3 linked regions of the Drosophila melanogaster genome follow. The protein of the gene in region 3 interacts with the protein of the main gene of each other region in a pairwise test. Each region holds a gene or a part of one and is shown on either strand. Other genes may lie near its edges.

Region 1 (11,865 bases), on a different chromosome or scaffold from region 3:
AGTATTATGAGTGTGCATAATAAATCTGGGATAAGTGTGTGTATTATATATATATATATATATATATACATCGATAAGTGTGTGTGTGTGTGTGTGTGTGTGTCTATGTATATATATATATATATATCTATTGCTTTCTTCCGTTACGTCTGTTGAATGATGAGCTGCAGGAGAAGGAGCAGGGAATCGGTTATGTGACCACAATGCTTGCACTCCGGCAATCGTACTTACATACATATGTTGTCGTTATGTTCGGAGTGTAATGGTACTTTTGCCTAGTGCTCCAGAACGGCATTCTCGTCGTGGGCGGACACCTCATTAACGTTGTTGTTGTCGTTGTCGCTTTCACTGGACTCGGCGGTCAGATCGACAATGCATTCGCCATCGATATGGACGGCCTTAACGTCGGCCGCTTCATCGGTATAAACGCCGGCATGCTTCTCCATCAATTTGGCCAGCTTATCGGAATTGCAGCCAACGAAGAGCTCCAGCACATTGCCGCCCTTGATGAACACAAAAGTGGGCATGCTATTCACATTGTATTCGACCGTAATGTCCTCGTTCTCGTCCACGTTCACCTTGAGTACGACGACACGGTCCGAGTACTGCTGCGCCAGTTCGTCCAGCTTGGGTGCTATTATCTTGCAAGGTCCGCACCAGTCTGCATAAAAATCAATTACCACCAGCTTGTCCTCGGCGAGGATTAGCTGCTGGTCAAGATCGTCCTTGTTCCGCACTGGGTACACCATGACTTTAACTAAATTCCAAACGGATTGCAAATCGAAACGAAACAAAAAAAAAAAAAAATGGGAAGAGAAGAAAGAAAAAAAAAAGGAAAATGTTAGAAAATCTTGTTTTGGGTGTAAAATTCACTTGATTTGTTTTGTTACTTTTGAATTTTAATGGAGCTCTGCCCTCGCCGAGATATCAGCCCGAAATGAAAATTGTAGGGCGGCAGGCGTTCTTTTATACAGTTTTCGCCAAATATTTTGCGGCCTTCTTGGATTGAAAAAAAAGTGTTTTCAAATGTCAGCGGCGCGGTGTGTTGAGGTGAGTTTGGCTTCGAACCTACCACGGCTATGGCAACACTCGAGGAAAATATTAGTACTATGTCGTGTGACGCCATTATTTTGCCATAATTACGATAATAATATTCATATCGATATCGATAGACCTGCCGTGGTGAATAAGTATGTTCCCCACCCCCCAACACACTCGGTTGGCTTTCCCAACGACCTGGCAACCCTAACACGCCCGCCATTTTGCACTCTCCATGGGCCGCCATTTTGTTTAGCGGCCACGCGAGAATTCAGCATGCAAATTGGCGGGAATTCCACTCTACACACCGCCACTTGGAGACCCCTATAAAGTCGCCTACGCAGCCGCCATTTCAATCAGTTCACAATTTGCAGCGAAAGCGCCAACAGCCCCATCACGTCAAGTTCTTTAATTTAAAAAAAAGAAGAAAAACACTTTGCTAATCCTCGCGACATAAAAATGGCATCCGTACGCACCATGAACGACTATCACAAGCGCATCGAGGCGGCCGACGACAAGCTAATCGTGCTGGATTTCTATGCGACATGGTGTGGTCCCTGCAAGGAAATGGAGAGCACCGTCAAATCGCTGGCCAGAAAATACTCCAGCAAGGCGGTGGTGCTCAAGATCGATGTGGACAAATTCGAGGAGCTGACGGAGCGCTACAAGGTGCGCAGCATGCCAACGTTTGTCTTTTTGCGCCAAAATCGACGCTTGGCCTCCTTTGCCGGCGCCGACGAGCACAAGCTGACCAACATGATGGCCAAGCTGGTGAAGGCGTAAGCAGCAATCCTGCCCAGCAATTAGCAATCAGCAGCGCATCTTTTTTTTTTTACTTATTTAACTCATCTTTTAAACATGTTCGCCTCATTTGTGTTCGTTTATGTATTCGATGTTATGTGTATGCTCATGTGATGTTTAGCTTGTAAGCGCGAGATGTGGGTAGCAGGAGATGCAGTGCAGCCAACAGCAGTGACCAGATGATATATGCTATGCTACTACTACTACTTATATGCTATGATTTGTGGCGCGGAGGCGTGTCTGCGACACATAATCCCGCCCATTTAGCTTTAAGATTCAGGCACTAAGAAGCAATTCGATCAATAAATTATTGTAACCACTCTGGACATTTAAATGTTAACATGGAATCAGCTTTGTTTTTTTTTTGCCCACAGCATTTGGATTGTTAACCAAGTAGGCGCTGCGTGGTCATGTCATTTCGGGTTCCAGCAACATTTGGCATTTGCTAACCAAACTTGAGATCACACACACGAAAAACAAAAAATCCCAAACATTCCGCAGCACAAATTCAATCAAATCCAAAACGCACATTTCGGTCGCATCCAAATTGTACGGATTTCGTTAGTAAATAAAAATCAAATTTCGTGTAAATCCAATCCATAATCCGTGGTAGAGTAGAAACCACACCATCATGTCGTATCAGATCAAATCGACGCCCTACTTTCGTCGCATGTTCAACGAGAGCAAGAAGAATGGCCAACTGCAGCGTCTGCGTGATGAGTACGAGCGCATCCAGGAGTTCAACGATCGCACCATCGAAATGAAGATGCGACAGGTGCGATTAAAGCGGCTATTTCGCGAGATCGAGGTAATTAAGGTGGCTGGCGGGGCGGCCGGTGGCGCCAGCGGTGGCGGCACATCGACGGCATCATCGCCATCGAATGTTGACCAATCGTTTGGTTTAGCCGGCGGACGCGTTACCCGCCGGAGACGGCAACAGGCACACGGTGCTATCACGCTGGCTAGCAGCACGCCCCAGCAGCGGATGCACAAACAGCGCATAGAGACGCTGGCACGCGCACGCCAACTGGGCCAGGAGATCTCGCGTCGGAATGGCCTAATGGCCGAGGCCGGCACCGGCGGTTTCCTGCGCAGCGAACTCCGGATGACGGCCAAGCTGCAGGCGGCGAACGATGCACGCCGGGCGGCCGTGGAGCGTCGCGACTTGGCCGCCAAGCGCATCTCCTATGGCAACGATCAGTCGCGACAGAATATCCAACGCATGCTCATCCAACGCCAGCGCAGACATGAACAGCAGCAAGCGTTGGCGGCGACAGTAGCATCACCGGCGGCACCGTCATCCAATTCCTACCAGGTGTCCATAGCGCAGCAGCCGGTCACAAGGTATGTAAATCTTCTAGAGAATTGTGGGGTTATGTTCACCTTTGTTTGTTTTTTTGTTTTGGCCAGCAGGCCCAGGCATGAATACACGGACAATTGCCAACAACAGCAGGAACTGCTGGCGGTGACCAGTGAGCGATCGACGGAGCAGGGCGATCATTTGCAGATGGAATGCGAGGGGCAGTCGTACTCGGAGCAAAGCTTCCATTCGAACGACTGTCTGGCGCAATCGATGGACGAGGATCTGGATGGTGAGGAGGAGCTGGAATACACACGCCATCGGCGTGATGGCGACGCGGATGAGGAGCCGGAGCGGCAGTCCTGCCTGGTGACGCTGAACAAGGAAAGATCCACATTGGCAGCCACATCACCGCTGGATATGCGTCGAGTCAAAAGCTCCATTGATTCGTATCGAAAGACGCACCTATCTCCGCTGGCCAGCGGCAGCAATTGGGTTCGGGTTGTTGGTGGCGCCCAATCGTCCACCATTGGATCGCATCAGCCAAGTGGAACGGTGCCGCCGCCGCTAAACGATGAACTGCAGCTGGATTCGCAGTCCAATTCGAGTAGGTGGCATGAGGTCTCAATGATGCTGTCGTGGTTCGGCGCCGCTTCCGACATCCCAACCGACTATGCCGATGCTCCGCCACCCGAGGTGCCCAGTCACTACGATTGCGATTCCATTAGCAATGCGGACGATATGCCAACGCCAACTGTGTGCCGTCGACAGCGCATGTTCGCCGAGCAGCCGAGTGATGCTGCCACACAGGCGCAGGAGGAGCCCTTCTAGCCAGCCGACGAGCGGCAGACGCACTGCAGCACACATCTATTTTTTTTACTGCAATTCGGTATGGAAATCCAAACCATCCAACCAACCAACCAGGCAAGTCTGCAGCGCCTGCAAAGTTCACTTATTTGGCATGCTACGCTAGTTTTGGCTTAGAATTCCCGGCCCATCCTGTCCAGAAGTTGTGCACGTGCACTTGGCTGGCAACCTTTTCGCATCTTTATTTGGTAATAAAATTATGGGTATGGTATTACATTTCACAAATAATAATAAAAAAAAAAAAAGAAAAAAAAAAACAAACAGCAATTTCATGTTCAAGTTACACTTTTCAAATGATGCAGTTCATCCCTGAGATAAATGATTGGCAAACATGCCAGCTTGATGATTTATGTATGTTCCGTCGTCTGGTTTTGTCCTGTTTTCATCATTCCTGCTCCTGCTTCTGCTTCTGCTCCTGGTTGCCCACTAGAAGTGCGTCATTCATTTTTATTTTGAAATGGATTCAGCGCCTTGGGCACATGGTAATCCCTATGGAACGAATGCGAAATCATCATCATCATCATCATCATCATCATAATCGTGCAGCGGCATAATTAGCGGCTCGACCATCCCAAAAGGCTGCAGTTCGGGCGCATAGCAACAGGACTCCAACTTGATCCGCGACTCGATTAGATCGTTGATGGTGGGCACAAAAGTTTCATCATACGATAGCCGCATAGAGAATATACCCTGAGCGGTATCCAGTTCGCCGACATGGGCATACAATACCCTATTGAATGTCATGCGCTGGAATGCGGTGATACCATTTTTTGGCCACCCATTGGCCAATGGGCGTACGTGCGACATTTTGCCGCGAAATACCAATGGCGGTGTGCGCGCAAAGCTTAGTGGGAGGAATCGTAGATGGTTCGGTGCCAATGTGACAGACAGGGCATGATCCACATACTCTATGTTCACACATTGGGCGTCCAACGGTGCGGTGACGAGCACCATGGCACGTCGCCAGCCACACTCGCTGTAGGCGGCGCATATGTAGCCCTCTTTATAGAAATAGCTAGGCAACTCGGCACGGTAGCTGCTGATCGTCGTATGGCGATAGAACCAGCTATGGGCATTAAATAACAATATTATCAATCAATCAGTCAATCAATCGATTTAGTTAGTAGCTTACTTTAGATCAATGGTCATCTCGGCTACAGGATTCTTGGCGTACTGCGGTGGCACAATGTGGAACCAGAACTCACACGGAGAGAACACCTGCGCAAGAAAAAAAAACAAAAAAAAAAAGATTGAACTCCTATTTCAAAGCTGTCTCTTTGCTTGGCACGGGACCAAAGCGCACTCACACAGCTCATGATGATCGGGAAGATAGAGTCCTCCTTGCAGATATCCTGGATACGCTGCGGCGGCAGCTTCCAGTGCATGCCAACGGCATCCATGGGCAGTCCATACATCAGTGCACACAAACTAACATCACCGATATCCGGGAAATCGGAAAACGACGGTATCAGTTCCTTGACAATGTAACCATCCGTCGTTTTTGATTCGAGTCCATCGCTGTCGCTATCGTTGTCCGATGTCGACGCTAGCAGTGTTTCCACTGACGCAGCAGCTTCTGCCACTTGGCTATTGCTATTCATGAAGTCAGCATTGCCGGTGTGCAGTTCATGCATCTTCATTGGGCCAGGATTGTTCATTGCCTGGCGCTCCGACACGGTGGCTAACAACTGCTCCAATGGCTTTCCATTCACCTGGACATCGGCTACATCCGGCGGCACAACGATGTTGCAAAGCATCTTATCGAAAATTCGCACATGGTGCTGGTCGTCAGTCTCAGCCGTCGGCTTGGAATCGGTTGTTTTTAACTCGAGAGCGATCTTTTAAGGGGCGAAAAACTTATTAGTAATTTCTACAATACATATATGTATATATTTCGACGCACATGTGCTTTTTCGAAAACTTTTTGCAAGTCACTCGAATCGGAAATCACAAGCCGTATTTTGGCATTGGGCTGGCGCAAATCGAGTGCTAATTCAATTGTTCCATTGATCTGCTGTTCAGAATTAGCCGGCTTCTTGGAATCGGTAGTTTTTTCCTCCAAAGCGATCTTTTAGAGGAAATTACTTATTAGTATTAACTAAGCATACATGTGTAATTTGAATTTACGTACATCTTCGACAACTTTTAGCATGTCACTCAAATCGGCTAACACTTTGTTATTCCGCATTTTGGCACTGGGGCAGCGCAAATCGAGCGGCACATCATTGTTATCCTCGGCTTCTTCCGAAATTTTTCTCAATTTCGAGAGCAAAGTTTGAAGTCTTCCTTCTTTGACGTCCATCTTGCTTTGCATCCTGATTTTAACTGAATTTCAATTGTGGAACTTTTCCCATGTGGCATCACCGCCGTAAGCTAGACGCTAGAGATGGCAAATGCGCCATCCGCGAAATCCACCACACCAATCGGTCATTGGCGGCTATCGAACGTGTTATCGAGCCGTTTGTTTACGCACGTGTTGTGTTTGATTTAATTTAGTTTTAATTTGTATTTAAACGCACAGAGAGCAGCTAGCAAATGGACAGCGACGGTGACGACTACGTGATGAGCGGCTCCGACCAGGAGTACGATGACGAGGAGCGCGAAATACTCGAAGATCTGCGCAAGCAGCGCAAAAAGCCACATGATCCCGTCCAGGAAGTGCTCGGTTTCAGTGATGATGACGACGACGACGACGACGACGACGAGGAGGAGCAGCAGGATGTGGCGGAACTGATGCGCGACAGTGACATCGAGGGCGCCGAAGACGATGACCGCGATCTGCCCAACACCATGGACTGGGGCAGCAAACGGAGCACGTACTACAACACCGACTTTGTGGACCAGGACTACAGCAGCTACAATGCCCAGGAGGAGGAGCAGGCACGCGCCGAGGAGGAGGAGGCCAAAAAGATCCAGCTGCGTCTGGCCAAGCGCATGAGCGAGGCCGATTTCCAGCTGGACAATGTAGAAGCAGCGCCCGCAGGCAGCAGTGATGACAACGAGCTGAGCCATATAACCAAAGTGACCAGCGATCTGGCCGGCCTATCAGAACGCGAGCGACGACAGCTGATGCACAGTGAGTCGCCGGAGTTCATCATTCTCACCCAGGATTTTCAACAGCATCTCGACGAGGTGAAGAACCTATTGAAACCGGTGCTCAACTACGTTCGCAAACACGATGTGCCCATGGTGCCGGCGCTGCAATATGCCGGACTCTGCCACACCGTGCTCACCACCTACTGCTCCAATGTGGCTTTCTATCTGCTGCTCAAGGCACGTCGCATCGACGTCAAGGCCCATCCGGTGATTAGGCGGCTGGTGCAACTCAAGGATCTGATCGAGGAGCTTAAGCCGCGCTACGAGGAATACATTCGACCGCAGCTGGAGGCGCTGCTGGAGAGGATTGAAGATGGCGATGCATTCACCGTGCTGGATGTGGCACAGCGCAAGGCTAAGCTGCAGATACTCAACAAGTACAACGATGGCCAGCAGGCGTCAGTGAGCTCCGATGATGATGATAATGATGACGATGACGATGCTGAGAGTAAGGAGAAGGATCTGCAAGAGGAGGCTGGTGAGGAGGAGGAAGAGGAGGATGCGCGACGCGGCATCACCTATCAGATGGCCAAGAACAAGGGCCTCACGCCGCACCGCAAAAAGGAGCTGCGCAATCCGCGCGTTAAGCATCGCGGCAAATACCGAAAGGCGCTCATCCGGCGCAAGGGAGCCGTGCGCACGGTGCGCAAGGAGCTGCAGCGCTACGGCGGCGAATTGTCCGGCATCAAGGCCGGCGTCACGAAGAGCGTCAAGTTCCGCACCTAGTTTTTATCCAATAAATCCGCCAAGATCATTACATTTTAATCAACTCGATGTTTGTACACTTGAAACACCCATTTCATCCAAAGACTCACCGGGGATTAGTCAACTAGCTGTCATATGCGAAACAAACAAACATTTTTCTTCACTTGGTTCATCAAGAAACCAATTTATATGAGTCGAAACAAAAATCATTGTCTTACAACAGTTTTTCTCTTTGTACAGTGTTCTCCAACCTTGTCTGTTTAGGTTGCCTTAAATCTAAAAAAATATATGCTCCAAATCTTCGTCTTCGTCTTACAAACTAAACCATGGCCGCTGGCACCGGGCTCAGCCGCCGGCATTTGTCGCCTAATCCTTGAGAAATAGCTTGCGAAAGTCATCGTTTGACTTGGGCACAGCAGCTGGCATCTCCTCTTCTTTTTTCTCATCTCCCTTTTGCTCCACTCCACTTTGCTCCTCTCCTATTTGATCATCTCCTTTTTGCTCCTCTCCTTTTGGCTCCTCTCCTTTTTGCTCCTCTCCTTTTTGCTCCTCTCCTTTTTGCTCATCTCGTTCTTGAACATCTCCTTTTTGCTCCTCTCCATTAGCCTCGCGCTTGATGGCCACGTCGACGGATGCCGAAGTGGATGATATGTCCCCCGGCTCGGGCAGAAGCAAGCGCAGCTTCTTGGCAGCCACCTCTTGGCGCACCAGAGTCGTGGGTATAAGCGAGGTGGGCACACGTCGCTTGGGCGCCACACTTGGCTTGACAGCTGATGTGCCCCTCGGCGGTGGGTTTGAAATGGCCACAGAGATCTGAAAGAGTTGTGAAATGCATTTGCTTTGGTTGGTTCGGTTAAACATGAAGGCACACATCATTCGCTTACATTCATGCCCTTGAATAGACAACCATCTCGTCCAGCCACTGCTCGTTGCGCCTCGCCCGGCTTCTCGAACTCAACGTATGCAATGCCCTTGAACTGCTTGTTTCTGTAGAGGATCAAATAGTTTAAAATCAATAATTGTAATTGTAATCTCGCACTCACAGCTTGTGCACCAGGCGCACATCTTTGATGGTGCCGAAAGGCGAGAAGAGTTCGTGCAGCTCCTCCTTGCTGCAAGCGGGATGCAGATTTCTTACAAAGATCTTATTGATTTCCATGTTGGCTAGAAGAGAGACAACTAATGTAAGTCCTTGAAACGCATGTGTCCAAACGGCATGGCGACTCACGCGAATACTTAAAGTTCGATTCCTTGGCCTCTGCATTCGCTGGCCCCTTGACTTTCGATGGCGGTGACGTAGCTCCACCAGATGGCTCGGTTCTGGACTTCTTAATGCCATGCTTCTGCTGCTGCTGCTGTTGCTGTTGTTGCTCATGCGCCTGGCGACGTCGCTGCTCGCGATTCAGTGGCTCACGATTCGTTTGTTGCTGCTGCTGGCGCGGCTTAAGCTTCTGCTGGCGAGGATAAGCCGACTGTGAGTTGGGCTTAATGCGGGAACGCGGCTTCACATACTCGACAGGCAGATCGAGGGCCTGGCAGGCGGCAATGGACTCGTAGGTGCCATAGCAACGTTCATAGCGGCGAAAAAACTCCTGCACCATAAGGCCATTCTCGAGGACGGGCTGCGAGAGAGCTTTGCGAAGGACATCGCGTGTGCCGTGGCCACCATTGTATTCGCTTTCCATCTGGGCAAAGTTCAGCCAGAGCAGGCCGCGTATCGAGCTGCCCGGATAGCCTAAAGATGAGTAGTTAAAACATTGCTTATGCAATCATATTTCAAAGCGCTCACCCATTATTTGGCGCCAAATCTCACGGCCATTGTCCGGACTCCCCAGTTGCGTGTACTCAACTTGGGCCCACAACTGCAGCACCTCGTACCTGGTGTCCGCCTGGTCGCCGTAGAGCACGGTTAGCTCCTCCCAAGCATGATTGAAGGCGGCACGCAGACTGGCGACCTGCTGCTCATCGCTGGCATTGGTGTTGCGAATACGATAGGCCAGATAGTCCAGATGCAGCTCCACGGTCATATCCATGTCGGTCACAATGCGCTGCAATATGAGACGTATCTCTTCATCCACTTCCGCCAACTCAAAGTCCGAGCGCTCCATTAGGTCGAGGAAACGATGATTCAATTGTACACTGGGATGACTGCGCACACCACGATTGGCCAAATCGAGTTCCGTGTTGCGCAGAAAACCTTTGCCCAAGCGTTTGGCCCGTTTGGCTACCATTTCGGCGGTTACCTCATTCTCATCCTCATTCTCCGGCACAGTGACGCCTTCGAACTGAATGAACTCAATGTAGGATAACCAGAGCACATCGACAATGGGAAACTTGGCCACCGAGCGTTCGAATATGAAACGGATCACAGCGTTTTTGAGGTCATCGTCAAGGGATAATGTCTCCACATCGTAGACATGAGCCTTGTGTTGCTCAGACCAATCCCAACCACGCGTTGTCTCGTCCAGATGTTGCTTAAACTTGTCCACAACGGACTTGATCATCTGCCGCTGCTCCACGTTGCACGTCCAGGTGACGCAGTGCTTTTGCAGCATTTCCACAAAGGCGGCAGCCTCATTTTCGTCCGTAATTGTCGATATCAGCGAACGCAGCTTGTCGCCAAAGTCTGGACGCTCCACGTCGTAGTCCGCCAGCAGTTTGGCCCACAGCACATGGTTCTGTACGTTGCCCTGATCCACCAGGTAGTTGACAACGTATTCGGACAGCGGTATGCCTGCAATATGTAACTCGTCAATTGGTTTAACTACGAATGGATTCTATCTATCGCATACTGTAGTAGTAGCCCAACGCTTTGGCACACTGCTCCTCGAATGCCTTGCGCTCCTCGTCCGTTTGGGTGACGACCAGGCGGGCCTTTAGATACTTCAGCCACACGTGAGCCGGCACAGTGGCCAAATTTTGCAGCTCCAGCACCGATGACTCGATCTTTTCCAGATCATTCAGTTTGCTGCATTAACGAGCATCAACATTAGCTAATGCCGATATTGAAAAAATGGAAAATGGGAGTGGGAGAAGCAGGCAAACTCACAATGCGATTCCAATGAGCGAGACCATTTGGGCAAACTTTTTGCTGGGCAACGCATTCAGCTCCTGATACGAGCGCTCTAGCTGATTTCCGCCGCCAGCGTTGTCGCTATCACTGTCACTGTCACTGGACACCTCACTGTTCGATTCCAATTCCGAGCCTTCGATCACGCCCACATCATCGCTACTGCTGCTGGAATCATTGCGCGCTCTGCCACGGCCAGCGGCATTGCCTCCCTCAGTCTCCTCCACTGACGGCTCGTCGTCCGATGAGATCAACTCAATGGTGGTCATATCCCCGCCGGCGGACGACGGTGGCCAGGTTGGGCGCGATCGTTGGCGCAGCTCCTCCGACTTGTGCTCCTCCTCCTGCTGCGGCGACTCACTGTGCCCCTGCTGCGGCGAGCCCTTGCCCTGATCGGGTATCACGATCAGATCATACTCGTCATACGCATCGTCGTCCAAATCCTCTGCCGGCATCTCGTCCAGCTCCTTCTCCAGCTGCCTTTCCAGCTGCAATATATTGGGCATACGCATAAGGGCGGCGCCTATTGGAGCTATAATCTGACACTCACCTGCTTGTCGGCGTCCATGCTTCAACCGTTTATTTTGGTGGAAAACTTTTCGCTTTCCGTGGAACTGCAATTTTTCCCCCCCAAAAAAAATACAGGAAATAAAAAAACAAAAAAAAAACCGCAAACGCAGGGCTGGCCAATCTAATATCGCGTTGTTGCGCTTATCGTGGAAAATTATTTGGTTTCAGGTTTGGTTTCCCTATTGGGCACTTTTTCTTGGAAAAACTTTCCAAGCACTTACTTTCTGAGAATTCGGTTAACGAAAACTTATCATTTTCTGTCAAGAAACACCGGTAAAGTGTGAATAATATGCGAATTTTTTTTTCGTTATAACAGTGTGACCAGTGCGTAATATCGATAGCTGTGCGCACTCGATAGTTGCGGCAGTCCAGACAATGGCTGTGTTACCAGCAGTGCAGTGAAGACTCGTGATGAGCA
Region 2 (10,887 bases), about 13 Mb from region 3:
AGCCGATGGGCAATCAATTAATACTGCAAAAGTGTTCGGGCCTACACTGCCTGCTAAAAATCTGATAACGAAAAGGCACACTGTTTCATGTAATTGAAATTCTAGGGCAGGCTAAAACTGCTCAGCCAAAAGTATATCGCAATTGATGGCTGACTTTGAAAGCAAACTTGACAGCTTGAGTACGAACCGATTCAATCAAAAGGAACATAGATTCGCTATCGAGCTCCAAGAGTAGAAGAACATAGATTCTCCATTGAGCTCCAAGAGTAGGAGTAATTTGCTCCCGCTCGAACTGTACAAAACGAGCTGCAACTCACTGTCAACCGAATGCAACCGGTTGGAAACGCCACATATTCATCCGGAGAACTGTTTTTTTTTTTTTTTTGGAAAAATCCTGATTTACCCTTGGATCGCCTCCACTTTCCCCTCCTTATTAAGACGAAGTCTGCATGCAATCAGTGCGGACACAAAAAAAAAAAACAAAACATAACACACACACACCTGAATTTATGTAGGTACGAGCTTGGCTCGGAAATTGGGTCAACGCTGATTGAACACTCACCTTTTGGCATCAACTAAAATGCTTTTGCCTATATTGGCCAGACCATTGGATGACGTTAGATTATCCGTACTTGGTATCGTTGTCTGTGATGTGTGCGTAAATTCTGAGGACGTTGAGCTGGAAGATGACGACGACGTCGAAGATGCTGATGATGAGGCAGAGGAGTCGCTGCTGGCCACCGATGTCGCTGCTGTCGCATCCGATGTTGCAGGCGGGGATGCAACGCTTGCTGCTGCTGCTGCTGCTGCGGCCACTGCCGATGTTGCCGGCTCCACTTCGATCTGGAGGCGGCAGTCGGCCACTATTTTGGCCAGATTGCGACGGCTGGCACTCACCAACGGTACCTGCTCCGTTGTCTCGTTGTCATTGTCCGATGATCCCATATCGACTGCCTCAACACTTTCCACGATCATCAAATTCATTGGCATTTTTTCGTAATGAGTCGCCGCTGCTGCTGCCTCACACTTTGCCTTTTTCTTGGCTTTGAGCTCCTCGGGTTCCTTTGGAATTTTCTGAATTTTTGCCAATTTGCGAGGAGCAACACAGGCGGCAGCAACTGCAACTGTTTCCTGTTTAGCTGGTAGTGTTGTTGCTGCTGCGGCTGTTGTTGTTGTTGTTGCTGCTGCTGCTGCTGCTGCTACTTTTAATGACTCCTCTACAACTTGTTCAGCTGCTCCTGCTGTCGAGTTTATTACCAACGAAGTGGCCGTCGTCGTTGTTGAATTTATAATTGCCGGCTGTTGTTGCTGCTGCTGCTGCTGCGACTGCTGATGCGGCTGCTGATGCGACTGCTGATGCTGCTGCTGATGCTGCTGCTGATGTTGCTGCTGGGTTGCCAGCGCCGCGGCTCCACCTTCTGGTATGATTGTTGCAAAAATTTGTTCGCCAAATATGAAAAGATCCTTGGAAATAATCATTATCACCTTTTTGTGAACGCTTAGCTGGATGTTGTTGGTGTTGCCGCCACAGTTTTAAATATACGTACGTGTGTATTGGGGGGATTTTAAATGTAAATCTTGTTTAAATATATCTATGTGTATATGCGTATACAACTTTTTGCTCGTCTTCTGCCTGCACTCGCCTTAAACACGTTTCGTTTCGTTTCGTTTATTTTAATGCATTAAACATATTTTGCGGCTCTGGGAACTTGGCTTTTTTGGGGATTTCTTTAAAATTTCATAATTCCCTGGCTTGTCTGGCTTGCCTCCTTTTTCTTTTCTTTTCCCGAGTTGTGGCCGACTGTAATATAGTAAGAGCAGAGAAGAGTACAGATATAATTAATATGTAAGCCAAGTGAAACAAGTTGTGATATAATTTTAAGATTTAAGAGATTACATGATTATGAATACACAAAATTATTTACATTTTCGACAATGATGTCGGAAGGTAAAAAGTCAGGCAAGCACGGAAACAAAGTGATGATTTTATTATTATGAGCAGTTTGCTTTTTGCTGCACAATCCCAGTGAATTGCATTCAATTTATAATTTATTGTTACTAGGAATTCGTTGCTTATTCAAGTTGCAGTGCTAATTATTCACGCGTTATTCATGCGATATCTCTGTTATTCACTGGAATCAGATGCTCGCCAGCTCTCACCGAAACTATTCACTTCATTTCAGGCTTCACTTAATTCGTAAAAACGTTCTGCAATTTTAATAATTTATTTAAACTTGAAAATGTTTGCCTCGACTTCGAGGAATCTCCTCAAAAACTCAGATTCTACACAGCTTTTTGGCTTGAGAACTTTTCCGACAATTTCCTATATGCACTGCCACCGGCACAGAAAAAGATAATGAAAAGGAATCGCAGAATATCGGTGAGAATTGGGGAGAATCAGAGAGAAGTGGAGACGCCTGGCGAATTTTGTTATATTTGTCAATTAGCCCGCGCGAAACAAAGCGCCAGAGCAAAACGTCAGTTTTCATTTTTAGCGATTTCAGTGTGTTTGAACAACATATAATATAAGGTAAATGCAGTAATTGCAATAACAACGCACCCAAAAAGCGAAGGAAGGTAATAAAATTCTTTGTTGCTTTTTCGAATTTGATATTAAAAATCGTCAGCACTTTTTTTGCAATTTAAATGATTTCTTTGCCTTTTTTTTTCGGCTTACTTATTGAACATATGTAGGTTTCTTGTAAACATTTTTGATAACACGCGTGTTAATTATTGGATGGGGAATTACTCGATTTATAAAGCCGAAACGAAACACGGACAGATCGAACGAAAAGTAAAGTAACGTAGAAACACGACGAAAAACAGAGAGCTATTCCGCTTTTCCACACAACGCGAGTTCGGCGCGCTTCAACATTGAAGAAAACATCCAACGGCGCCCGTTGATCTGAACGTACTGAACTGATCGCGGACCGTTAAAGCTAAACGCTTGCGCCAGCGCTCCAAAAGTCGCCGCTCATTCATTCCCGTTCTCTCGCGCTCTCGCTCTCGCGCACTCTCCCCCCACACTCATTCTCGCCGCCTACGATCACCACACGTGCGTATGGAGCTTGCACCGAGAAAAATCGCCCTAAGGTGTATGTTTTAAGTCGAGGAATGAAAAACCAAACAAATTATGGCTTGCATTCAGAAGGCATGTAAGAGATATCTCTGCAGTATCGAAAAATGATAAAAATTAAAAAATTAGATGATAAAGTTAAAATTTTATAAAGTAAGTTAAGAAATAATTGATTACGTTAAAATTAAAAATCCCTGGCCTTCTTTTGTGTAAACACTATTTAATACGAATTATAGTAATAAGTAGTTATATTTTTTTAAGTGCAGTCTCTCTCCCTTGCTCTCTTTCTATTACATGAATGTTAAGTTATCTCTGCGTACATTGCATTACAAATGTTATGGGCTTACAGCGAGATCACTTCCCCTGCTGTTCCCTAACAGTAACAGGGCTCAACATTTTGTTATCCATATTCAGTTCCCAACGAACTTTGGTAATCTTCGTTGATAAATAAAGCGAACCAATAAAAGTTGGTTATTTAGTTTGACTGATCTCGAATTTCAACTTGGTGATAGAAATTTAAGGTCTTGGCTGGCAACCCAGAAGTCATTCAACAAGTTTCGAGACGTTTTTGGAGTAGCAAGCGGTTTTCGGGCGATTTAATGTGTCTCGCGAAACAAAAAGTTTTACTAATTTTTGAGTCTGTCCTACGTTTCGATATCTTTTGAAGGCAATTTTTCTTCTTTACAAATTATATTGTACTTATCAAGGAGTTGGATCAACAATGAAATTTTCTATACCTTTTTTTAAGTACTTGAAATTAAAGTTGACAATAAAATATTTGTTGGTCTGCGAGCCTTTAATAGGGTACAATTAAAACAAATTAAGTCTCTAGAAGATTCGCTTCATAATTTCTTCTTAATGCTGTTAGGCAAATGCCCGCTTTCCAATCTTATCAGTCATTAAACTCGAGGGTAACCGCTGCGTATACGCAATTTGAATGCGTATACGAACCGTGTGTGCGTGCAATCCGCGGATACGATTGTGTGCGTGGGTGGCCAGAGGGCGGTAAGGGGAAAACGAGGGAGGAGGAGATTACACTTAGAACTTGGAACGATAATACAATTATAAGCCTTAAAATGTGTCACCTGCGCTGGGTCGTTGACCAAATCAGATGGAAAATAACGCACAATTGCATATTAGGCCTAAATAATGATGATTGTTCAGTTTGCAGCGAAATTATTAAGTTTATTGTGTTGCCATAAACTTGGAGCGAATAAGTCGCCAAGTTGCCGCTATGTTTTTTTCTCGTTTTCGGTGCGTAGCTCTCGGCTCTCTATAAAAAAAATTATTTTTTCCTGTTGCTGTGTTGGTGGTTTTACTGTTGTTACTGTTTTTTATTTATACGCACAATGTGCAAAATGTGCGAGACACCCATACAGTGGCACCAATTCACGCACACGCACTTGCTCTTAACCTTGAAAAAACACACAGCCAATTTGTTGTTGCTCTCGACTTCTGGTGGCTTTCTTTTTGTTTTTGTTTCGTTTTTTTTACTGAACTTTGTTTTTGTTCTACCGCTGATAAGATTCTTATTTTCTTTCTTTTTCTCCTTAATTTGCTCTTTTCTTCTTCTGATGTGTGCTAGTGCGTATGGTGGGCCATTTTTCTAAGTGTACGTGTGAGCGTACGGCAAATATTGAATTTCTAGACAAATTTTATTAAGCGATGTCGGAATGTGAATAGTTTCTTGGTCTTTCATTTTGTATGTTATTTGCTAAATTTTCTATTAATTTAATTTCTTAGTCGACTATATACACGTATGTGTATTATATACAGCTGTGTTGAAAATTGTAGCCAGTTAAGAAGGCAAGGTTGAAGATTGCAGTTTTTTATAACAATGTAGCCTAGTTGTATTTAAGGCCAATATAAAATCCATATATGTATGTATATAATATATACTTACTTCCCTACATCGAAGAACCGTTGAAAAGGCCCCCAAATTTTGCACGAATTGTTCCTGATTTTTATGCGGTTTAATGAACTTGAACTCTTATCAGTCAGGTTGGCTTTCTTGATATTGCCCAGGAGAGAGCTGTAATGCAACAAAAGAAGCGGAATAAACAAAGTCGGTGATCTTACTCATGCCATTCGGCGTCATGTGAATTTATTTTAGGATTTTGAACTTGGTTGAGTTGGGAAATAAAGCAGGGCTATCGAAATTGGGTCGCCATTTCTTTTGCTAGACTTTGTCGCTTTGGATATACGATTACTTAGGATAAATATAAAAAATCGACTTTATTTTAAAGTTTACATCATCTATTGCACATATACTTTATAAGCTTAAAAATTGTACTTTACGTTACTCAAGATTTATCAACAAGACGATCGCAATACGTAAGTTATAACATTAAAGTTACATGCCTATAAGTATGCAAATATTTTGTCAGCGTTTGTGTATATATATGGCATATACGTCTTTAGCTTTAAAATGCGTCTTTAAATAATTGTAATTTACGATCGCAATACGTAAGTTATAACATTAAAGTTACATGCCTATAAGTATGCAAATATTTTGTCAGCGTTTGTGTATATATATGGCATATACGTCTTTAGCTTTAAAATGCGTCTTTAAATAATTGTAATTTACGAAGGATTCAAAATTTTTAAGAAAATACCTCTGCCCAATACGTCAGATCACATGTTCATGGAGAAATCATTTTCCAACCACCCACTCAGTTTGTAGCAGTACAAACACCCCATTACACATTTATCACTAAACATTCAAAGAATTTTCCAAACTTTTACTCTGTTTTAAACACGATGACGTCCATGCTGAATACCCCGATAGTCTCCATCTTCGATTTGATGGTGGAACGTCACATCAGGCTGCGCAGGGAACTGAATGGAAATCTTCCGCCAGTTCGTCGGCCTAAAGCAGCACGTGGAGCTGCCGACGGAAAGAAACCTTTCAAATACAAACCAAGTCCGATGGAGTTTCCCTTGCCAGAAACACTGGAATTGATGTCTCCGCCAGCGGCAAATGCCATTACTGCCGCGCATTTGACCCAGAAACACACTTTCCTTAAGATCCAGCCACCGAGCGAGAAGAACGCAATTAAGAAGCTGGTGGAGAAGATGTCCCATGGACGAGGCAAGACCAAGACCGTGTCGCCAAGGCACTCCCTGTCCAGCAAGAAGACCAGTGCCAATTCCTCCAAGACGGTCGTCATTCAGCCTCGCAAAAGGAAAGTAGCCGGGCAGGGATCATTCCGTGCTCAGCCAAAGCTCGGCAAGACCAGTTCCACTCAGTTGAAGCGACAACCCCTCTCTCCCAGAAGGGCAGAATCTACAGCTAAGGATGCCAGTACGCTGAGCAAGACGAAGACCAAGAAGAGTTCGCCTGAAAAGTCGGGTGCACAGATGCGAAATACCAGGTCTGCAGATCGACTCGGCAATGCAGAGATTCCGGTCTCAAAACGATGGCGTCTTTAGAAGCGATAGATATACCAGTAGATTTTCATTCATTCAAGCTAATCAAATTTGCACCAAGTAATCAACAACTTTAATCACAGTGATCCCTCCATGTGATGGACCGCACTGAATCCCACATGAAGGCGATCCAAATTGAAAATGTACTTAAATATGGATTGTCTAGTTTATATACACATGAATAAAAATGTCATGAAATGAAATAAAGGCGTTATTTTTTTATTTTATTTATTCGGTTTTATAATAAATTAGAATTTTCATTGCTGCAGCTTAACATTCGGTCTCTTATTCTTGTATGTTCTGTTTAATAAGCCTAAATTGTGACACAAATCGTAAGCCAATTTAGCTAGGGCCCAAATTAATTTGACAAGAGTTAGTTTTTAGCGTGGTATTAACCAACTTAAAAATTTTGTTAGCTTAGATCTAAATGTATTTTTCTTAATTATTCCGGTTTAGTTTTCTCTTCACATTCAATTCGCACAGGTTCCTGCTTTTTTCAAGCTTTTGCTTTGTTTATTTTTGCTCTGGTACATTAAAATGCAACTACTACAGACTAACAATACTTGGCCATATATACGGATTATATATATGGTGTATATATAGAGTTACGCAGTTACTGGCCATAGCCTTGACTTGCGATTTGGATTAAATAGTTTGAAGCATCTTGTTTCTGATTCTTGTTGTGGTATTGGTATCGGTATCGTCTGTAAACGGGCGCCAAAAATCGAAAAAGGGTAAAGAGTTGGGAGGAGTTATACAAAAGAACGAAAACATTGCTCACAATTGTTTCGATTGGTTTTACAAAAGTATTGTACACAATAAGTATTTTGTATAATCGTTTTTATCAAATTTCCCCTAGCCATGGACTGGCAATTATATTAAAGTTATAGTTATTATATACTCTCCAGTTTGCCAGTTTTGCGCTTGCTCGACATGTAAATGAATTTTCTAAAACAAAAATTCAGGGCGCTCTCTCTCTTGATTTGTTTCGGTTTTTGGTATGTTGTGAGATATGAAATACTTGAGGATTTGTAGATACATTTGTCTGAAGCAAAGCCAAGCAAACAGGTGCTACACGTAAATGCCGTGATAAAAACAAAACAATTGCTCTAGTCTAACTAAAATGCAGCTACTTAGATCATACACGCGCTTTTCTTACCATTAAAACATAATCTTAAATATGTATACAAACATATTGGTTTGTGTTCTTAATTTCTTTTCAAAGTGTATTGGGTTTGTGACTAAATGTTAGTTGAATTTTAAATTCATTTTCAGATTTTTTGGTGGCTTTGCTTTTGGCCCAAAAAATTGTTTCGGGTGTTTTGCTAACATGTCGAAGACAATTGGATTGGATTCATTTTACTTGCACATTTTGTTAAATAATTTTACTGCTAGCGTACTACGATTTCAGCCAAAGTTCTTTCAGTCTGAAAAACAAAAGGATTTTGAGTAAAACAGTTTAAAAGCAAACTTATGTTCTCCACACAAAAAGCGTTTTACAGGGAAGCATCCAGGATACAAATTAGTCAAACATAAAAAGGATTAGTTGAGAGTGAATGAGTACTTTCTACAAGGGTAAATACAAAATTAAAAATTACTTACAAAAATACAAGGTTTTGACAGTGAGTTTGTGTGGTGCCATGGGAATCTCTTCTCCATTCTTCATTCAGAATATGAAAATTTTTAAAGGTTTTTCATTACAATTGCAATCGTACTTCATGATACATTAACCGTACTGGCCTTGAGTTTGCTCTACGGAATACAAGACTTATCTTTAAGGACTACTTATCAACTCTGCTCGAGATAGATGTTGGAAAACATAGGTTAAACCTTGATTGGGATACATGAATTTTCAACATTAACCTTAACATTCAGTGTCAGAGGATGTGTATCTTAATCCGAGAGAATAGAACATGCACAAGTTTGGGTTTTGTGTATTGCTAACTAGGAGATCAAAGTAACAAATGCCCGCTGGTGCAGTGCGTTTCAAAACTATCAGACCTTTCCATCTGCTCGTGAGATGACTAAATTTGGCAGTAGTAAGGAATAAAAACGAAAACATTAAATGCAAATAGAAAACAACCAAGTTCTTTAAGAAAAAACTAATGCATCCAGTTAAAATTCATTTATCATAACGCTGAGGACGTTAAGTGGACTTCTTAAATCTGCCCTGCAGTTATGAAACGCCTTGCAAGTATACATGTGTGTGGTAGTGAGTGTTAAAGTTACAATTAGTTGACGCTGTTGCTGTTTGCCGATGTCTCTGATCGCCGCTGTTAATCACCGTCTAATGAGATGCTTAGAATTCAGTGCGCCCCGCCATCGACATCGACTCAATGCTCTGACGCAGGTGGCTATCATTGGTGATCTTTTCGCAGACAATGCTCACCTTTTTCAGCAGCTCGATGGCAGTTTGGAGCACCTGCTGCCATTTGTGCAGCTCGTTCTCGTGCGCCATCTCCTGGTCTCGCAGCAATTCCAGCCATTCCTGATTCGTGCTCGGCAGCTCACTGAAAAGCGTAGGTTCATTTGCATACATTATAGCGAATTTGGTTGTCAGTATGGATTTGGACTCACCTCAAGGCCGCCAAACTGGGCATGCGGGCCCGCCGATTGAGATCCACGTCAATGCGTTCCTCCAGCCTCCAGAGCTTAAGTAATAATATCACATTTAATGCCAGCATCAAGCACAGCAAGAGTATAACCAACAACCACAAGCCCTTGTGTCTAAGTCTGTGACCCTGTGACCCTTGACCCGATGCCAGAGGCTGACCGTCGCCGCCGCCCAGGTGCAACTGCTGCTGCTGTAGGTGCTGCTTGTGCGGCTGAAGGTGGTGATGGTGCATTTGCTGCTGGTGGTGGAGCTGTTGCTGCTTGCCGCCCTCGAGCAGCAGCGGATGACCGGCGGCGGCGCCGACTGCCGCCCCGGGAATACCTCCCGCGGCCAGCATTTGGGTCTCCAGGGGATCAACGGCTGGGGCCGGACCAACTGCCTCCTCCAGAGGACGAATTTGGGTGGCGGTACCTGCGGAGAAACGGGGACGAGCGAAGGAATGGCATATGGAACGGTTAGAAATCAAACCATTCGAACGGAAGAATCGAAATGAACATAGGCCGGCAACAAAATCACAACATTAAGAGTACAACAAAATATAAATCACTAGTAAAAAAATTAAGCTGCAATAAAAAGCAAGTGATTAGGAGGTACATGATGGGCTAGCAATCGTCACGAGAGACTGTATTTAAGATAAAAGACATATCATTCAAGACATTTCCAGAAAAGTTTGCATTACCAGTAGATAACTGTTTATGAAATGAACCAAGCCTTTCGGTGAAAAATATCCTTGCAAAAAATTTAATGATCGACATAATATTAGGTTTCTTTAACGAAATTAATGCGCGAACTAAATCGAATTGATTCGAAAGCTTCGTCAAGTTCTTGTGACTTAGTTGAAGGTAAATCCATTATGAACTAGAAGGGGACAAAACTTTAAGCAAAATATGAATGAAGCCTTATCGAAATTTGATAAAGCCATTAAAAGTAATCATTACCAAGAAAAATTATTAGATTAATAAAAAGAAGCATTCAAAAGGAAGGTTAAAATTGGTGAAATCGTTTTATGATCGGCAACCTGTATCACGTGTGCTCATAAATCTTTGGCAGTGCCAGCTGTGCTTCTTATCGAATTTACTTTGAAATGTATATTTGAAGTTAAGCGCATTAAAAGAGCGAAATCCCGAAATCCCTCTAAATTACGTTTCAAAACCTCATTACTAAACATTCGCTTCTCAAATAGAAAAGAAATAGTTAATAGTTAATAGCTAATGACAATAAGCCGACAACATTTGAAACTATTATTTTTGACATCTTTTCTTTAAAGATGAAGTGGTCAATTCTGAGTAGATTATAAACTAACTATATTTTAGTACTGATAGACATACACAATTCCCCTGTGGCAATTGCTAGTCAGAAAGGATCCAAATACTTAAGCTGTACCTCTGCCGGACTGAAGTAGAGCCTTACGGTGATGCCAGTGATGGGGATGTTGCTGCTGATGATGGGGAAGCAGAGGCTGATGATGATGATGATGGGAGTGCCTGGCATCGTGATGATGATGCTGACTACCATGGTGATGGTGGTGATGATGGTGCATGTGCAAGTGCTGGTGCTGATGTTGATCCTGCTGATGGGGATGTCGCGACTCTTGAATGCTGTCATTGTCCGTGCTGGTGGCCGTATGGAGCGCACCTGTCGTGATGGAGGTGGTCGACGTGGAGGTGGCGGATTGCTGATTCATGCCTGAGATGTATGTTGATTGTAGCTGGATGTTGCTTTTGGTTCGTAACGAGTGGTTTCATGTTTATTGTGAGCATGCGTGCGT
Region 3 (10,947 bases):
GAATTCGTGGGAGCAAATTGGCGCCCGAATCAGCCGCTTTTCGTAACTCACTCAATGCGAATTGTTTTCAAGCGCCGGAGAGAATCTATATAGAGGGGCTTCTCCGACTCGCTTCGAATATGTTTTTCGCAGCGCGCGCGTTCGCATCGGAAAATCAGAAAAGCTGGCAAGCGTTTAAAAACAAATTCGGCAGGTACAATTGTTACTTGTTTTCCCCTCAGTTGACTATTTCGTCGCAGGTTTTTGGCCAGCGGAAACCATCGTAATAACCGTTTATCGTTATTTTATTATATTCGCGTAAATCGTTGTTTGTTCAACCACAGAATACTTGTTGTTACGCATTTCGAAAATGGAAATGCGAAAATTTCCAAGCAGTGAAAATCAAAACGAATAAAATATATTGGCTGCTTTTCGTGTTTAGCGCGTACGTGTGTGTTTCTGTGTTAGTGAGTGCAGCAAGAAATAAAACCAAAAAGCAACAAATAAATAAATAGAAAACAAAAGCAAAATCAAATCCAAATTCAAAGGCAAATACTTGCAAAGTAAGTTGATAATATCAGAGTGTGGTGCTAGCATATGTTGCATTATTTTGCCCAGCAATTTACATGTTTTTCACATTTTCTTCTCTCACAAATGACAACTAACTAATATGGATGATATTAACGGTGTTTAGAGTTGGCTTTTCCATTGAGAAATATGAAAAAATGCGTTCAATATGTTAGCGTACACACACACACAAGCGGCGGCTAACTGTTGTTTGTGTGTATGTGGGTGAATTGGCAATAACGCGCACGTGTATTAGTGTGTGTTTGTTTTTGTTGCCTTTGCGGCCAAGTGGCAGCAAAACGTTGCAAGCAACAAAAACAATAACTACGATGGCAAAACAAGTGCAGTCAGCAAAACCAACTCAACCAGTGCCTCTCGCGCTCTCCCACTCTCTCTCTCTCTAATACCCAAGCCCACCTCCTGCTCCCACACTCACCCTTCTCCCTCGCACCCATTGACGCAACTGCATGGTCAGGGCTTCTTTTACTGTTACAAAGCTCATGCGTGGACCCAATAGCAAAATGAATGCACGATGTACTTAGTTCATTAATTCCGCCAAATCAGAAATTATAATTATAAATGTACGAGTTTAATGGATTAAAGTTAGGTGTACGTAATTTTTTTAATTGTATGACCACTTTGGTGAAGCATAACCGTGGTATGAAGCTATTACAATTTCATGAACTTGGCGGCATAAACTTTGCAATTTACTATCTATGGTCGTCTTTGGATTTTTGGCTTCGCGCTTTTTGCTCTTCGAAGTGCGCTGCTCTCTTTGCGCCAAACAAAGCTCGGCCGACACTTGTCGCGTCTTTTGGATATCTGGCCTCCTCCCACCGCCCACTGCCTCTTTACATATATCTTTTACATTTTTTGCTTTCATACACTGAATAAAATTATGGGTATATACCGTACTATCAAATGTTTCTGAGTAAAAATTAATTTAAATAAAAAATTTAATTATATAATTATAAAATTATTATATAATCACTTGTATTTAATGTTGTATGTGTTGCAAATCCATTAATACTTTTAAACTTCTAGGCTTAAAAACAAATGTCTGTGAAAAAAGTGGAATTCTTGGAAAGTGTATCTCTTTGGCTTTTCCACCTCGAGGCGTTTTCGCTTGAAGCTTTTGCGAGTTTGGTTCGATTTCCATTTGCGTTTAATTGCATTTATGCATTTTTAATCGAGTTTGACTTTGGTGAGCTTTTTACTTTGGCATATGCTAGATTGTCGCCCAGACACACGGGGTTTTTTTGGGTGAAAATGGGCTCTTGCTGATCCAAAAGATAAGTTTCAGTTTCGTCCTTCTTGGTAGTGAGATGTTTGGACAAAGTTTTCTAATTGGCCTTGACGCCGTTTTCAGAGTTTTAGTGCTACTAAAAGGCAAGAGTGCGAACTTTCTGCGTCTTTAATAAGATAATTTATTTGCAATTATAATTTGGTTCATTAAAGTTAATTGAATTAAGGGCAGGCGTTACATTCCAACCAAATGGAATGACAATGGGTGTGGGGTTAAAGATAAAAGGATTTTAGTTAGTGAGGAATATATTTTGTGATAATAACGGGTAATTAAATTTTTTTTTATTTTAAACTGAACCGCTATTAGGCAATTTTGGGCATTAAATAGTTAAAAGCTTTAGATACACAGTTTCAATGCGGTATACAAAACTTCATTAATTTTCGATTAATCTAGTATTTTTATACTATAATTTAAAAACCTTACGTCATTTATTGTTTTAAATCAAATTTTAAATTTAAATATTTTAAGATATTCCACTTCTCCAAAGAGGTTTTTTTCGAACAATTTTTAACTCACAGCCAACAGCTGTTGCATCCTAAGCAAACATTTGTATGTTTAACTTAGTCCTCTTGAAAGCTCAATTAAAGTCGCGTGTATAACCGCCCACTACCCAGGGATTCTCTAAACTTCTACACTCCGAACACACACGCCAAGTTTGCAACTTGGCATATGTTTATCTGCTAATCATGGAAATGCGATGCGGTGTTGCAAAATATTTATCTAGAAACGGTTGACTAAAAAAGAGGGAAATAAGCGAAACAGCTTTTCAGCCAAACTGCAAATGGGAAAGCAGCCCCCTTACCGGTTTCCCACTTTTCCGGCACGGCGACCATATGCCAAAAAGCTGAACCAAAAATCGCACACACATTTGGGGATAAAACGCGATGCGAAAAAAGCATAAGTAGGCTGCTGTGACATTTCGTTGTCTGGGTATACGCTCATCGCGAACAAGGATACAGGAGCATTAGGGTGGAGCAATTTGTTCGAAGCTAAATATAAAAAACTTCAATATTGATTAAACTTGTTCATGCATATAGGACTTAAACTAAGTAAAGATCTGAACTAAAATTAAGTGCTTTTTTTTTAATAGAAGAAATATTAAGATCAGCTATTTTTGCGGACTGTTGATTTCCTTTTAGCGCTTAAACCTTTATAAGAATATACTTGGCATTTCAAGACTTTCGTAAATTCAGAACTTGGCTTAGATTGACGCACCCTGATAAAAGCACACTTATAAAGGCACACATTTGTATATCCGCACATCGGCACACACAAATAATTCGCCGTGCTATGTATGCCAGTATGCCGAAAAAAAGGGCAAGACATAGCTTCACCCGCTTTTGTCGCTGCCCACGCGTCACGGGCCGAAAAGCAACCACCCCACTAAGCAGCCCGCCCAACTAACCCACCGCCCGCTAAAACCACCCAACGACAAGCTCACCCACTCAGCCATCGTGTATGCCTTAACATTTACCTTGTTGGCCCGAAGTTGTCCACCAAACATTTGTTGCACTCTTCGCGTAGGAACCGCTTCTCACCATGCTGTTTATTCACCAGGCTCTCTCCCCCACTGGTTCTCTCTCTTGCTTTCTCTGCCTTTCTCTTTCTCTGTTTACATTGCTCTCTCTTTGAGGTAGCCGACGCCGGTCCGACGTCATCGCAAAGGTCAAAGCAAAGCAGCGCGAGTAACTATATAAAAAACCCTACAATTGCACCGGAAAAAATGGATTTGCATTCGAAATTCATAAGTTTATTTAAAATAAATATTTTATTCATACATCTTTATTTCCAACAATAATTAATGACAAAAATAAAATAGTATATTTAGAACTTGATTTCTAATAAATAAAAAAAAAAGAAATAAATATTTTAATCTCTAAAAATATTCCATATGAAGTATACAGTGATTTAAAAAAAGTTACTTTTTTGAAATCTTTTACAGTACAATATGGTGTAGAACTTGTTTGAGTGCATTAAAGCTTTTTACGAAAATTTAAGGGATCCTGTAACTGGTGGGTTGGCCATTCTAAATGCCTCGAGGGGCGGTGGTGCGGATGGCGTGTGGGTGACTTCGGTGGGTGTCCAACCATATGGTCAATTCAATGCACTGAGTAAATTGCTCCTTGGCGGAGGCAACGCTTCATTTGGTTTTCAAATTGAATAGGAAGCGTCGCGACATTGTCGGGCGCCTCGCTGCCACCCACTTTCCCGAATATATGTATACTCCCCACCGCCCTTGCATTTGAGGATTCGTCCTCCGCTAATTGAGACATTTGTCAGTTTGCGCAAATGAGCCACCATTTCTCAAAGGCACCCTCTCATTGGCCACGGGAATTAGGAGACGGAAAGTAAGGACTTATTCCCGACAGCAATTTCGTATTTTAATCGATTATACCCAATGGACCTATTTTAAATATTTAGATTTAAAAACGCTTTAATGAAATTTTATAAGATTTTAATATCTTTTCCTATTTTGGGCCAAATATTATAATAGAACGGACAAGAAATTTATCCTGTAACAAATATATGTAGCATTGGTTTCTTGGATGTTTTTTTTTTTTTTTTTTTTTTTTTGACAAGTTCGAATATCCTTTTGCGTGGCTTACTTAAAAACTGTTCGCTTAATCAGCTTGGATGGCGTTTTTCTTATGTTTGTGGATGAACTAGGAATGTCCTGCAGTCGGCCCTTTTCAGTTGGTTTTGACTTTACCAACTGTTCCGTTGTCTTGACTTGACTTGGCTTCTTATTAATTTTTTTCTCAGCGACCGACGATAAAGGAGTCTTGGGTATTAATTTCTTTTTCTTTTTAAGTGACTTCTCCGGAGATTCTTCTTTGTCAAGGGCCTCCATCTCAGACATCAATGTCTCGAAGGTCACATTCATCAAAAAGTAGCGACCTTTTGAATTTACCTTTTTTTAAGGTGTGGTATAAAAATAAGTTTAAGTATCTCACCGTCGAGTTTCTGCAGGAATCCCAAGCGATGGCCCATTTCAAGGGTTTGTTTCACAGGCTCTTTAAGCTCATCTTGCGATAATTCCGTATTTTTGGCTATGGTTACCACTATTTCTCGCAGTGTCGCCGGCGCTTTCAACAACTGAAGTGTGTGCACTATAATAGCCCCATTAAAGTTGGGCATTTTTTTCGATATTTGTGTAATTCTGTATAAACGTGTGCTATCACTAAAATCGGTTCTAAGAACTGAGAGTTACGTGCAAAACACAAAATACAACTGGCCAGCTGTTAGTCAGATTTCAGTGACAACCAAGTTCTCAGCATGCTTTAATTTAAATATTACAAAATCCTACACTTTTAAATAACACAATTATTTTAAAGAAATCTATTAATTAAAAGAGAATAGTACATATTGATAGAAAAATACCTGTACCTTGATTGTACTCTGTTCGCTGGCATTTGAATCCTTGGCCAAGTTTGGACCGCCATCCAGTTGGTAACAAGACTTACGTAGACTGGCCGACGTCAAGCGCTTATCTATCAGCCTTGCAGAAGCTGGCCAATATAAGCGGATTTAGCCATATCTATCAATAATCCCCGACTCACAACAACAGGAGTGGTAAAAGAATTGAGCAAACTTTGCCGCTCTCTGTTCTCCAATATTGGCTTCTGATATTTACATCAGGGACGCCTTTCTGCTGACGTTTTTCGCCACTGCTGTTTCTAATCAGCGTGGTCTAAATATAGAATCCCTGACCGCCCACACTTTGGTAATCGAGCCCAGAATATATACCATATGGAGGTTTAATTAAACTGGGTTGTGCAAAAAAGAAAAAAAAAAAACGGCACAAAAAAGCGAATGCAAAGAAAACAATAAAGGATGTTTATACGCACGCCAAAGTTTTCGTTATCAATCATTTTTATAGTGGCAATTAAAGCCTCAACAGCTGTCAAAGTCAACTGACTAACAAAGATGTCAATGCTCAGTCATCTTCAACTTCAGGCAATGGCGAAATCGATGAAAAGGCGAACAAAAAGCACTAAACAAAGTTAAAATGTTATTAATGCCTATTAAGTACAAAAACTACGCCAGTTCCAGTGCTGCCAAGGACAGTTGGAAAGCAGTGCCGTTTACTCTTGATATTGACAGTCAACGGTAATTTAATCAAAAAGTGTCAGAGTTTGCCATATGGCTGCCACTGAACCGAACGTTTGAAAGTCAATAAAAAAAATGGTTAAAACGAATGTGACAGCTAGAAATATATCGTTTCTCCGATGCTCTTTTACGTACATATATATATTGTACTCTTTTTTAAGTATTTGTACATCTTAACTTTAAAGGCTTAAGAAAAATTTGTGATATTATTTGGCAATTTTATACAGAAATATTCATTTTAAATTGAATTAAACATTAAAATATTAAAATGTTTCCAATGTAAAGTAATTAAATAACTTTTAAATGGGAAAATGTACGCTCAGAAACTGAAAAAGACCGAAAAGAAGCCAATAAAATTAATAATTGTTCAATATTGTTGTATGAGCTCCTTCTTTACGTTCTATTTTAATAATAAAATAAACGATTCATGGAAAAAGAACAATAGGATCTTAAAATCAATAACGAATATTTCCAACGCAAATTTTATGTGCATGTTTGCATATTAATTAAAACGTAAATTTCAATGTAAATAAAAATTCAACAATCCGGTGATTTACAATAAGTTCTTATACATTTTTTGCCCTTCACTTTGCTGGCCCTAAAGCACATTAAAGTATGCTATGATTTCTGTTTTTTCTTTGTCTGTTTGCCGTAAATGTATCTGTGTGTGTATGCAGGAATGGTTTTTGTAGGTGGGTTAAATTCTATTTGATTTCCGTTTCGTATAGACCTAAAAATAGAAGCGTTGAAAAATCAGGGACAACAGCTCTCCGCCCAGAGCGAACATTTATTTAAAATGTTTGATGTTTTCCTCGGTTAAATGTAGCCTTTTGACTCTAGCCCAAAAATGAAATACAAACACCGGACTACCAGGAAATTCGTTTGTTGATTGTTTTGCCCCAACGTTTTGCACACTAGAAATAAAAGAATTTCAAAATGGCAACACACTTGCGCACGGAAATTCTTTTCTCAAAATGCCATTTAAAATGCAGTACAAATGTTATTTTAACACTTGTCACTGTGCACAGCCATAAAACACGAACGAGGTATTTTATGAAGTCGGTAGGTGAAAGCAGAAGGCGTGTTTAGAATGACACGCTTTTCACTTATTATTTATGGCAAATGAGAAAAGCTGAATTGTGAACAATGCTGCAACGGATTTTATTGGACAGGAAATTCAGGCATATTTACGGCTCAGAATGGATAGAATGCAAGCATTTATTAAGGTTTAGGTAAAGCACTTTAAATAAAATACGTATGAAATAGATAACCTGAAAACTAAAAAAACATCAATACTAAAAATTTGACATATATATGTCGATTTGAAAACCCATTGCCTTTATGTCAATGGTTTCTCTTGACTCACTGAATTGCTTCAAGTTTAATTTGTTAGCCAAATACGCTTAATTGAACTGAAATCTTCTATACCAAACGGGCAAACACACACACACACACATTCGCATCTTCTTTGACATTTATGCAGAGTCAACCTATAAGCACACAGTGCGACCCATAGGTGAGTGTACATGCGAGTAGTGTGTGTACATGTGTGATAAACGGCAGCCTCTGCAGCCTGACAGTTATACTTGCTGTGTTTTATTCGAAAGGATGACCTGCCCGGCAACCCCAACCCTTATTTTTCCTCATTGTGAACTTACACCACCAAAAAAAAAGAAAAATACTGGCGAAGCCTAATTATATCGAACGAATTTAGCATATTTTCATATTAACATAACTTAATAATCTTTAAAACTAAGGCCCAGTAGCATGTCTGGATATAAATGTTATATATATTTAAAAATTGATTTAAAACTTAATAAAAAATTTATAAACGCTTACATTTGACAAACTGTTTAATCGAATAGGCATTTCAGACATATCAAAAGAATTTTTTTTTCAACTTTTTGTATTATGTATGTCTTGTTTAGTGATGCCAGCTTTAACGGTAATTGTTTCAATGAGCTCCATGAAATTTCTTTGCGTGCCTCGTGTTCTCTGGTGGTCTGTCTGCAGATCATGTTCTCTGTGTATGAAGACCATGCAAGTGACAAATTATATGCACAATGGTGGGGCATGGTGGTTGGGGAACTGGGGGGGGGGGTACAGATGAGTTGTGTGAAAGTGTCAGCATCAGTGTCAGTTTGGGTTTTTCCAAGTAAAATGTTTTATGAGCAGGCAGCGAGACATTTTTGGCCTTGGTAAAATATGAGTTGCATTTTGCAGCTCCCTGAATACGGGCAATAAACTGTGACCTGCTCCACCTATGTATGTGCCAGATACATAGTCGTACATACGTACGTACGTATCTGGTATCTCATATATCAACTAATTGCAATTTGTTTATTGTCCATGTGTGTGTGTGTGCCATCCTTGTTTTGTGGGCTTTGTAATTTTGTTTTATGTCTGGGACGTGCCTTCTTGGCCAATTGGAAATTTTATACCCATAGATTGGCAATTTTAATTGACTTGTTTTCCACAGCAAAGCAGACGACAGACAGCTGTTGCGAAATGTGATTTGCATATGGTTAATTCACAAGAATTAAAGCCAAGCCCGGCTGGAGCAGTCTAAATATCAACAACATATACTGTACTGTTTAAGACATTTTGATTGGGCATAAGCCTCTTTTCTAGCTTAACCAGCATTAAGTGGGCTCCTACACTCGCTTGGCGATGCCCAAAAGTATGCCACTTTAAACAGCAATTGTATTCTCTTCAATTTTTCCCCAACTCAATTAATTGAAGCCATTTCTTTTGCTTACTTTCGTGGGGGTTGTTCCACTGTCACAAATTTTCTCGTCTGACGCTGATCGTTTGCGTCATTTTCATGCGGGCAACTTTTACGCACTTGCGTCTTAATTACTCACACCGCATTTGAGCCGCCTTCGTTTTGCCTCCTTTCGAACGACTTTTCCGGACTCCCGCCGTTTCCATTCCATGTCTTGGCTTAAATCCTTAAGCTCCTTTCACAGTTTGCCTGTCTGCAAGCCGCTTTCTACATTTGTTTTACAACCTACGGGGAGTTTCGATTAAGGTTGTAAAGCCATTTAGCCGAGAGTGATATGTACATGTTTGATGAGAGATTGATAAAAGAAAGATAAATATAAATAAATACGCTTTTATTGTTGTTCAAATTTGTTGTTTATTGTTCAAATAGCTCAAATGGTAATAAAAACTGAAGTGTTTTAGCTTCAATTCATTTGAGTACTATATTTTTATAAGTTTAATTTAATTGAGTTTTTTAATGTGACTTGAGAGAGTATTTCTGAGTTCATTTAGCTACCGAAAAAGTATTTTTTATCAGGATTTCCTTTCTGTGACGCCCACCCATTCAGGAAAATATAGGCTAAGTGGCGCTTACAGCTTTTCGAGTTTTGCGTTTTGATATCTACCCTTAAAATAATGGTTATACGTATTAATTTACAGATACAGATAAGTTGCGATAGAAATTAACATAAATTTATAATGGAATATATTTTAAGTGCAACTTATTCTTTTGCAGTCTATATACTTATAATCCAAAAAGTGTATTTACTCGTTGGCTAATAAGTTTTCCATGGCAGTCTTATCAGTTGAGCAGCTTAGGCTACCGTTCATATAAATTTTCCCTTTGTGCGGCTCCTTCATCCTCCTTCTCGTTTTCCCTCCCAAAGTCATCATCATCGTTGTGTTCGAGGACCGCTGCAACATGTTTGCATTTCATTTGTTAGCAAGTTGTCAACCTTTTATCTATGTTATTATGTCTTGCCTACATAGCTGCTCCTTTTTTACTGGCTTCGCTCCTTTGTGTTCCACTTTATCTTATTTTCCACGCTTTTTTTTTGCTTAGCTTAAAGTTAAGCATTTAAAGTTTTCCACAAATGGTATAATGGCGAGCTGTGGGGGCGGTGGCCTGTCATTAGTCAAACGTCATGTCATGTGAATGGGGCGTGATGAGCGTGCAGCGAATTTATCATTGGGCCGCATCTAAGATAAGACCGGGCCACGCGTCGTATGCGCAATAAAACAAATTAATACAAATATTAATCATACGCCGCGTGGGACCAAAATGCCAAAGATCAAGAAGTGGCCGGCCAAAAGTGTAAGCGAAACATCTAAAGGGTCAGCCACGTGCAAAATTCTAACATCTCTCATTTCCGATGCGTAAGCCAATTGAAATGGAAAATTATAGCAAATGGTGTAATTGTTATGCAAATAGTCATTTATATTTAATAACATTGATAAAGGAAAAAAATATATATAAATAAATATATAAAAACAATGTTCATAAAGCGAAAATTTACCAAAATGTTCTTAAATATTTGATAATATCCTTTGGCCGGTGGTCATCAAATTGAAGTATAACTTGTTGCATTTTGTGGAGCTGAAAGCTCCAAATTGACTTCGGTTTTTCGTTAGTTCCTTACACATGCGTCATGAGAGTGGGTGGCAACTCAGAGAAAGAGTGACAGAGAAACGATTTTTCGGGGGAAAACTGAGAGAACATGAAAAATCTACTCATTGCTGAGAGCTTGTGGACGTTTGAGTGGAAATTTCTGAGTGGGAACATGCAATCTTTGCAGTAAGCGAACTTGCAGAGCAAAAAACCTCACCTTAGTTAAGCTTAATGAATTGTTAAATTTTGTAAATTGACTAAATTTGCTGACCATATTTTTAGGACAATACTAGTAATATATGAAATTGCTACAATTTCCAAAAGGGCCACTTATGAACGTTTCTGCAAACAAGAGTTGTAATATTTTTATTTAATTTAAAGTGCGGTTTACTTTCCAACTTGTTGACTTTGCTTGGAACTTGGAACTGCAGCAATTCCCTTACTTATGCAGTTGCTTTATTTATTTTTTTTACCATCGTGCGTGGCTAATTAAATTTGTTGGCTTACACACACACACACATAGTGAAGGCGCACAAAGATACGGATATGGTCACACAGATAGTAAAAGTATGTGGTTCCCCCTGAAAACCCTTTCCATGTCATTCCTTTGGTG

Evidence for each region.
Region 1: the proteins of CG5968 (region 3) and Sas10 interact in a two-hybrid assay, tested with the Drosophila melanogaster proteins (one large-scale study listed by BioGRID).
Region 2: the proteins of CG5968 (region 3) and CG8838 interact in a two-hybrid assay, tested with the Drosophila melanogaster proteins (one large-scale study listed by BioGRID).

The regions. Positions count from the first base shown.
Region 1 is NC_004354.4:5,310,963-5,322,827, forward strand, and holds Sas10 (something about silencing 10), read left to right. Parts: upstream 1-6,446; 5' UTR 6,447-6,541; coding exon 6,542-7,828; 3' UTR 7,829-8,109; downstream 8,110-11,865. Other genes in the region: TrxT (thioredoxin T), read right to left, coding at 276-749; dhd (deadhead), read left to right, coding at 1,498-1,821; CG4198 (uncharacterized protein), read left to right, coding at 2,471-3,183, 3,250-3,970; CG15930 (uncharacterized protein), read right to left, coding at 4,496-5,072, 5,139-5,224, 5,314-5,844, 5,910-6,074, 6,138-6,320; Rnp4F (RNA-binding protein 4F), read right to left, coding at 8,174-8,620, 8,692-8,794, 8,851-8,971, 9,036-9,542, 9,597-10,541, 10,600-10,775, 10,857-11,365, 11,428-11,445. UniProt on the Drosophila melanogaster protein: Essential for gene silencing: has a role in the structure of silenced chromatin. May be involved in gene regulation during development. Binds RNA.
Region 2 is NT_033779.5:3,351,914-3,362,800, forward strand, and holds CG8838 (uncharacterized protein), read left to right. Parts: upstream 1-5,732; 5' UTR 5,733-5,836; coding exon 5,837-6,508; 3' UTR 6,509-6,705; downstream 6,706-10,887. Other genes in the region: E23 (early gene at 23), read right to left, coding at 563-1,479; GramD1B (GRAM domain containing 1B), read right to left, coding at 8,805-9,015, 9,083-9,530, 10,503-10,805.
Region 3 is NT_033779.5:16,544,897-16,555,843, forward strand, and holds CG5968 (uncharacterized protein), read right to left. Parts: upstream 5,064-10,947; 5' UTR 4,991-5,063; coding exon 4,807-4,990; intron 4,751-4,806; coding exon 4,455-4,750; 3' UTR 4,285-4,454; downstream 1-4,284.